2 linked regions of the Daphnia pulex genome follow. The protein of the gene in region 1 interacts with the protein of each later gene in a pairwise test. Links are inferred from orthologs where the notes say so. Each region holds a gene or a part of one and is shown on either strand. Other genes may lie near its edges.

Region 1 (4,486 bases):
TAAAATGATATGTCAAGAATAAAATAGAAAAACAAAAAAAAAGGGTTTTACGCAATAACAATTAAAGTAATGTGATAGTTACCGTTGGCTACGGAGGGAAGCCAGCAGATGGCGATCGATAGGATCAGTGCTGCCAAGATGATGGACTGCTGCTTATTCTTCATGGCGTCGGCGCTAAATAAATACACAGAAAACTTAACCGTGCGGATCTAATACACGACAGAGGACCGATCTCAGACGGACTGATGCGATTTGATGAACTCGTTCGTCCACTTGTCCCTATTTATACGCAACAACAACAATGAAAAGATCATATCGATCGACAGCCGAGCGTTTGGCTGGTCATTTCACACGTACGGAAAACCCCGCCAACTTTTGATTTGAATTCAATTAATAGCCTTGCGAAATTTTAAAATCATTTCCTGTCGATAGTGTCATAAGGTACACATATCCTTACAGCCTTGACACGTCATCAAAATGGCCGCTCATTTTCCAATTCGACCCAAATTTTCGACATTTGAAAGTCAATCGGAAATGAATCGGCAGAATTTCGATTTAATTTTGACGGTTTTTTCCAAAAGGAGCGTGACTCTAATCTTCCTACAGCAGCAAAGTCATTGTAATATAAAAACGTCACACGTTAAGACTTTTCTTTAATGAGGAAATATGAATATGACCGGGACTTAACAAAAGGAATATAACGACGGCGTGACTAAAAAGCTGCGGGTGGATTATTTATGCATTTCTCATCTCTCTACTTTGGTCGAATAAGAAAAGTTTCAATCTCACCCGCGCCTAGCGAACCATCAGACTATATAATAGTAGTCTGCCATACAACCATAAAGTTTGATTTATTTATATACGTTATAGAGCATTTGCGGGATGATGGGCTCCAGGGAGGTGTGTCGTCTATTATGGAATGGAAAAAGAGGGGGGGGGGGAAATATCACTCACTCACGACTGACACACACGACCAGAGCCAGCCACACCCTTTGAGCGATAGTCGTGTGTGTGTACAAGCAAAAGGTGAGTCGCCCATCACAAAAGGCGACAGAAAACCTTTGATTCCCAGCCTGGCTAGCACCACCAGTGTTTATCCAGGACACAATCTACTTGAAATCTATCGGCCATGGGAAAAGTTAATGAGCATATCTCTATACTATATAGCGCAGCTCATAGAAAGTTTCGTGTATTTTATAGATACCTTTTGATCTATTATTCATAGCGTTTCTATTGTATTAGCAAACACAATCGATGAATAATAAAGCACGACTACACAAACTCGGCTTGAGTATCATTATTTTTTGTGTATTTTTTTTCAAGGTGAAACTCCCGAAAAGAACCAGTTGTGTGACTCACAAAACATTTCTGGAATAGTTGGGAAAAAAATTTCATTTCGTGCATTCGCCTCGGGGGTGACATTAAATTTATGTAAATACTAACTCGTTTGGTCAAGATTTCACGAGGTAAAATTAAAAAAAAATGGAAAATATACATCTAATGTAGAGTAGTAGGTTATCTCTCCTGTTGTAAAGCCAGTTTTCTGTTGTTGTCCTTTTCTCTAACGGATCGATTTGACAGATGATCATTTGCCAAACGTGACAACGCTGTGCTTTAAAACACTCCCCCTCTCTTTTTTCTTTCTGCTGTACACACACATCAGAGAGAGGCTCACGGCATTATACACACACACACAATACTAGAAACATGGCTGCTTAGCACACACATACACACACTGTCGTCCGATTTTGACAGATACCACTCGTTAAAGTTGCACCAGTCTGCGTGAGAAAGTGAGCAGAAGGTAACGAGAAATCGGTGGCGATTTGTGAGGGACTTGCGCGTTCGTACGGAGCCCGCGCTCTGTTATCTTATCGGGCTTTGATTTGGCTTCCAAGTTTAGATTCGATCGCGGCCCCCTCCCACATCCTACTACTGCCCACTCGATCACGACTCGCAACCGCCCAATTTTTGTCGTCTGAGCTCCTTTGTGCTATCGGCTCGTGTGGGATATTCGCGACGAAAAGGGGAGTGCAACCTTAGCAATGACCACCATATCTCAAGTGTTGGCCAATCTCTACGTCACCATCAGTTGCTCATAGGAGAAATGCAGGTGCTCGGTCAGTGATCCGCCTAATACCCAAGAGTTTCCTCATTCCAGTTCGACATGTCGGAAACCAAGAACAAGCTCAGCAAGGTGGCCAGGCTGAGGAAACGACTCAGTGACAGCTTGGGCAGGCTGGCCTGTAAGTGTTTGCATCACCTTTTCCCCCCGTTGCCTCTTTTAATTTCTTATCTCTCTCTCTCTCGACAGCTCTGGCAAAAGAAGACTGGTCCATCAGCCGAACAAGATCTCAGACCAGACTCTCTCACATGGGCTACCGCAAGGACCACAACGGACTCAGCATGAGGGGCAAAGCAGGTTTCTCTGACGAGTATCTGGACAAGCTGGACAGCGAAACCAGGGACTCGCTGCAGGAGAATGGTGATGCATCTGGTGGGCAAGGTGAGCCAGACCTCCGATGGGAGAGGCTACGACTAAGTGACGGAGATTTGCTCAGCGCCAGCCGGGATCCAGAATTCGAAAAATTGAAGGTATAATTGAATCTAAAATTTGTTTTCCCCTGTTCCATTTCTTATGTTATTATTTTTGTATTAATGTCGACAGGGTTCTGGTGGTGCCGATTCCGGTTTGGGAAGTGACGATGCGTGTGCTCAAGATACCAGCAGCCGAATTGCTACGGTTGGAGGTGAACAAGTGGTGCTGAGACGTAGTAAGAAATCGTCCTCGTCCCACCTGAAACAGCGTCCCAAATCGGAGGTTTACCGACACCAGCCCATCGACCCTCACCTGGCCGGAGCCAGTGTCGTCCTACCCAGCGCATCCGCCATCAATTTGAAACCCTCCGAGTCTATTCGTCGCTCCAAAAGATACTCAGCCTTCGGGGTGTGTATTCAATTCATCTTTTTATTTTCATCCGTTCCTTTTTCTGCTTTTTATATGTTTCAAACTTTCCCGCCTTAATAGGGAACCAGTCCGTTTGGCAAAATCGAGAATTACCTACGACTGGAGCAGCTAGGCGAAGGCTCTTACGCCACCGTCTACCGAGGATTCAGCAAGTAAAAACTTTGAGTCGAGTTATTCGAAAATGTTGGTGACATTTCTGACCAATTTGTTTCTTTTAATTTTAGTTTGACTCAGCAAGTGGTGGCGCTGAAGGAAATTCGTTTGCAGGAAGAAGAAGGTGCTCCATTCACGGCCATCCGTGAAGCTTCTCTACTTCGTGACCTGCGTCACGCCAACGTCGTCACCCTGCACGACATTGTGCACACGAAAACGTCGCTAACGTTCGTCTTTGAATACGTCGTAAGTCTCGTCATTTGGCACATTCCGTTTGAATCGATTTTAATTTTTCTTTCTCTCGACAGCATTCGGATTTGGCTCAGTATCTGGAGAGGCATCCGGGCGGATTACAGGCTCACAACGTCCGTTTGTTCCTGTTTCAGCTCCTGCGTGGCCTCTCGTACGTCCACCGGCGCAAGATCCTCCACCGGGATCTCAAGCCGCAGAATTTGCTCATCAGCGAAGTCGGCGAACTCAAATTGGCCGATTTCGGGCTGGCCCGCGCCCAATCGGTTCCGTCGCACACCTTCTCAAGCGAAGTCGTGACCCTCTGGTACCGGCCGCCTGAAGTCCTACTCGGCTCAACGCAATACTCTTCGCCGCTGGACCTCTGGGGCGTTGGCTGCATCTTTGTCGAGCTCCTGACGGGCAGTCCGGCATTTCCCGGCGTCAAAGACGCTGCCGATCAATTGGAAAGAATCTTCAAGGTAAAATTTTTGCTCAATTTTGTATTAATTGACTTTGTTGATGAATTTTTGTGGGTCTCACAGATTTTGGGGACGCCGACGGAAGCGACGTGGCCGGGCGTGTCCCGTCTGCCGCTCTACAAGCCGCAGCGCTTGAACTTTTACCGGACGCAAAGGCTGGGCCACGCGTTCCCTCGTCTCTACGACATTAGCCAGGCCGAGAATTTGGCCTCGAAACTGCTCCAATTGCAGCCCAGCACCCGACTGACGGGCGAAACGGCCGTCCGGCACAAATTCTTCCAGGAGCTGCCCTCGCAACTATTTAACCTGTCTGACGGTAACAAAGAATTTAGGCTCCTTCTTATTCTGTTTTGAAATAATTTCAACAACCTTTTGAATTGTTTTGATTATTATTTTAATAGACGTGTCCATTTTCACGGTCCCGGGCGTCGGTCTCTACCCGGAAGAGCGGAAATTCCCTCCTGTCGTTCTCAGAGCGGCCCAGGAGTTGAAAAACAAGGCCAAATTTTAATTATTTTTTTAAATAACTAAAACACAAAACTAAAAAAAAAATTAAGAAAAAGAAAATTTCAGAAATGAAATTTTTATTTTCATTTCCTTCCTTCCTATCCCGAAATCCGTTCCATAATAGCCGCCATAAATGCCAATCCCGACA
Region 2 (4,252 bases), on another chromosome or scaffold:
TTGAAGGTAACAAAGAAAGGAAGTATTTGAGGTGTTGCCAGAAAATTTCACTGCCTATGATGCCAACAATGAACCATTTTCAGATTTTCATGAGCAAACACTTTCCTACTTGTGGGAGTAACCTACATCCATAGATCATGCCCGTCCACAAATGGTAAAATGGACCTCCACCCAAAGCATTTATCAGGTCAAGTACAGCATCCTTAATAATGATAGACCAAACAGCTTCGTGGGTAGAAGAAAGACACAAGTCTTCAACCTACATTATTCTAGCAATAATTTAAGACAAATTTCTATTGCATGATTCATGGAACTTTTTCTTTCTTAGCCTGTGGGGGAAAACATGTGTTAATCTAGTTAGAAAGGCGGTGGTCATCACATGACACGAATAAAGCTATTTAACAGCAGGTTCTGGGAACTTTTCACTTTGACATAAAATTTATAAACTGTAATTGTTCTTACACTTCAGGTGGTGGTGTGATATCGACGATGTCATCTTGTGACCCGTGGGACGAATCCATCATGTCATCTTCATGAGTGCAGTCCGTACCGTCCAACGTGACCAAATCCTCCAAACACTCGACTTCATTTTGGTCGTCATCGGCCAAGTTGATTTCTTCGATAACACGACCGTCCGATTCTGCCATGGTAGCAAGTGTTTAAAAGAGAAGGAAGTCAGTAGATCTTTTTCCGAAATCTCTTCTCTTCTAGAACAAAATTACACTTGCTTAACCAAGAGTTTCCAGAACGAGCTAAAAAGTAAAAAGAACAAGTGAATCGATTCGTTTCGAATCGATCACTAGCGAATCGATTGGTACTTGACAAATGTCAATACGTTGTCATAACTACATTATTGAATAAATAATTTAAAAAAAACTCTTGTTTGTAAAAAAAATATGGTATAATTTGATCTGATAGTAATTTTCAATTGAAGTATTTTTGTTTTTTGGGCAATGCAAAGATGTGGCCACAAGTGCGCTCTTGAGTCGGCTAAGAACACCGACTGATAGGAGAACGCCTCTAAAATAGCTAAATAAATACATTTATTTAAAACTATCCATAGATTGTACTTTAAAAAATTAGTACTCATTTAAATTTTATTGTATAAATGATTTCGAGAAGAACTCACGCTGAATTGTTAAATTCACGCTTGTCCATTTATGAATGTGGCAATGTTGAGGGGCAGCTTGCAGCTTGCAGGCTTTTCCAAAGCAGCGGTTCCTAATGGAGTAATAAAGTGATTAAATATAGAATTCAAGTTTGACATTTGATTGAATATTATTTCCGGTCGTTTTGCGTGACCTGTTTTTCCGTTCTCATGAAGGCATTGATATTTGAACGACACATGTCTAGAAAACAGACGAAGACGACCCGTCTCCAGTAAGTCGGATAGAAAAATTCTTCCCTCATATCGATGGCGATATCGCACTGACTTGTGTTTTTTCGCCCTTTTCTTCACCAGACGGAACTCATTTTGATCATGCCTAGACTTATTTCGTCTTTTTCTGTCAAAAGATTTTGAAGAACTGTGATTTTTTTGTCCACATCAGCAAGAGTTATCATGGGTAACAAACACTCATTGGGCTGCTGTTATTACAACGTCAGTCCTCAACCCCAACGAAAAGTCAATGATGTATCTGAACGAAGAGTGTTAGAAGCACATGAACCCTGCAGGGCCGAAAGTACAACAAACCTACAGCATATCAGTGAGAGAGAACCTGAAGATTGGCAATCAGACCCGTCTCTCCACCCGAAAGCTGAAACAATATTTATGGAAAGATCAAGAGCTGCTATTCATGGTAAATAATATTTAATTTGGTTAATGTTAATTATACTGAATACAAAATTTTGTATGGAATCTCTAGAGGGACTAGAAAGGAGGAGAAGCCAACTTCAGGTACATTAATATTGATTTATTGCCGTGTCCATTTCCTCATTCCATTCTGTTTATTTGTAGCTCCATGATAGAGGGACCTTGAAAAAATCCAACTCTTGTTCTACCATCTATGTAGATGAGAGTACTGTTTGTCAGCCTAATTTAAAGAACACTATCAAGTGTGTGACACTAGCCATTTACTATCACATCAAGAACCGACAATCAGATAGGCAAATGGATATTTTTGACGAGAAACTTCATCCTTTGTCGGTCAGTAGACGTCATCTTATTTTGGTTGTCAGCTTTAATTTTGCTAATTTATTATTTCACTATTATAGAAGGACGGTGTTTCTAATGACTACTGCCGGTACAATCCCGACCACCGCCAAGTCTACAAGTTCGTCAGAACGTTATTCAACGCCGCCCAACTGACAGCCGAGTGTGCCATCATCACCCTGATTTATTTGGAAAGGTTGGACGTCATTCGAGGAATTACGAAATCAGCAGTGCAATAACCTGTTGTCTTTCCAATTCAGATTATTAACCTACGCAGAAATCGACATTACCCCTGGAAATTGGAAAAGAGTGGTGCTGGGTGCCATTCTATTAGCTTCCAAAGTATGGGATGATCAAGCAGTTTGGAATGTTGACTATTGCCAAATTCTCAAAGATATCACAGTGGAAGATATGTAAGTTGGCATAGCAAGAGATTAAAAGCTTATCTGAATGAACCGGGTCTCCTAATGCTTTCCTTTATCAATCAGGAACGAGTTGGAGCGTCATTTTTTGGAAATGCTTCAATTCAACATCAATATTCCGTCGAGCGTTTACGCCAAATATTATTTTGACTTGCGGACGCTTGCCGAGGCGAATGAAATGAATTTCCCAGCTGAGCCTTTGACGAAAGAGAAGGCAACCAAGGTAAAAACAAAAATTGTTTCACATTTCGCCATCCAAGTGAGCTGATGCAATAACCTTTTTCAAATTACAGCTCGAGGCCATGTCTCGTGTCTGCGAGGATAAATTGGCATCTGATATTTTGCGAGCAAATTTGAAACGCTCAGCCAGCATGGACAATGTCAACATTTCACGCCGGAGCATAGCCATCCTGTCGTAAATGAAGACGTCTTTTGTCATTGTGTAACGCATCCTCCGTCTTGTTTTTTGCACTCCCAGACATTCAAGATCCCCCAAACACTTTTTTCCCCCCTCGTCTACCGTATCCTTTCAAGACAATGAGGCTGGACTTCTTCCTTCCCACTCCGTTGGCTTCTTCTTCCCATCAAAAGTGCCTCATGACACTCTCATGACTTGTGAAAAATCCTTTATCCCATTGATTATTTTCCACGAGGAAAAAAAATTTACTTAATCAATTACGATTTCTATTTTCTCTCTCCCTACTGATTTTTTGTTCATTTTCTTGCCTTAATTTTCTTTTTTCACTTTTTATTATTTTTAAAAAAAATCCATTGCATGCTTGAAATGATTTAGCTCTCCTAGTCAATCAACGTAGATTCGAGGATGAAACACCAGGCGTTACGCCACACCAAGTCTCCCGAAAAAACACGCCATTTAAACTAACAAAAGAAAAAAGGACAGAGTAAAAGAAAGAGAGAGAGAAAAAGATAATGACTTAACCAATGTAAATTTTCTTTACTCCCAAACTACTCGTCCTACATATTACTACCGAAAAAGAACTACACAAAATTCTTATTTTCTCCCCTATCCCCAAAATTTCCCAGCCCTCGGTTTCCGTTTTTTGACAGTCTCGATTGGATGCCTAATATTCCCCCCCCCCTTTCAGCTCCCCCCTATATCCCTTCCAAAATAAAAAAGTTTTGCGGTTTCTTCCTTTTGTTTTTCAAAAAAAAAAATTTCGGTTTAATTCTTCCGGTACATATTTCACATGTGATGATATGCCGTTGATGGACAATTAATGATAATAAAGACATGTCATTCAAATTCAAAATTTTTAACTTTTTACAGTTGTATACAAGAGTCAGGGAAGCAGAACTTGGTAAATTATGCTATGTAAAAAATGTTGTTGTCTGTAGGTTTTTTGTTGCTTTCGTGATGAAATATGAATATGGAAACAAATAAGCAAGGCGTCGAATTCCAACTGGTTTTCAACCCTGGCGAGTGTTTCTTTCACTTGCATTTTTAATTGCTACACCGCTGCTGCTGGGTTGGTTATGCGATTATAACTTGATGCGTGCGTCAAGTGAGCCGTGATGCGCTCACGAATGCGAAACCATAGCGTGAGTCTGTATAAATTGTCTTTTGAAAATTCCCGTCCGAAAAAAATGTTTCCTTTTTTCTACAAAAATTCCATCCGAGCGGAATCGTATTTCCTTAAAAAAAATGGCGGAAATAATT

The links.
Region 2: the proteins of cyclin-dependent kinase 14-like (region 1) and cyclin-Y-like protein 1-B interact in a two-hybrid assay, tested with the Drosophila melanogaster proteins (2 studies listed by BioGRID). The link is inferred for Daphnia pulex from reciprocal best matches to the Drosophila melanogaster genes Eip63E and CycY.

What each region holds. Positions count from the first base shown.
Region 1 is NC_060026.1:753,282-757,767, forward strand, and holds the start of cyclin-dependent kinase 14-like, read left to right. Parts: upstream 1-1,626; 5' UTR 1,627-2,167; coding exon 2,168-2,246; intron 2,247-2,314; coding exon 2,315-2,595; intron 2,596-2,668; coding exon 2,669-2,947; intron 2,948-3,028; coding exon 3,029-3,120; intron 3,121-3,192; coding exon 3,193-3,367; intron 3,368-3,429; coding exon 3,430-3,831; intron 3,832-3,894; coding exon 3,895-4,147; intron 4,148-4,232; coding exon 4,233-4,342; 3' UTR 4,343-4,486. Other genes in the region: uncharacterized protein LOC124204587, read right to left, coding at 83-164.
Region 2 is NC_060019.1:10,930,851-10,935,102, reverse strand, and holds cyclin-Y-like protein 1-B, read left to right. Parts: upstream 1-1,176; 5' UTR 1,177-1,380; intron 1,381-1,515; 5' UTR 1,516-1,561; coding exon 1,562-1,799; intron 1,800-1,865; coding exon 1,866-1,897; intron 1,898-1,957; coding exon 1,958-2,146; intron 2,147-2,214; coding exon 2,215-2,348; intron 2,349-2,412; coding exon 2,413-2,565; intron 2,566-2,640; coding exon 2,641-2,797; intron 2,798-2,867; coding exon 2,868-2,993; 3' UTR 2,994-3,838; downstream 3,839-4,252.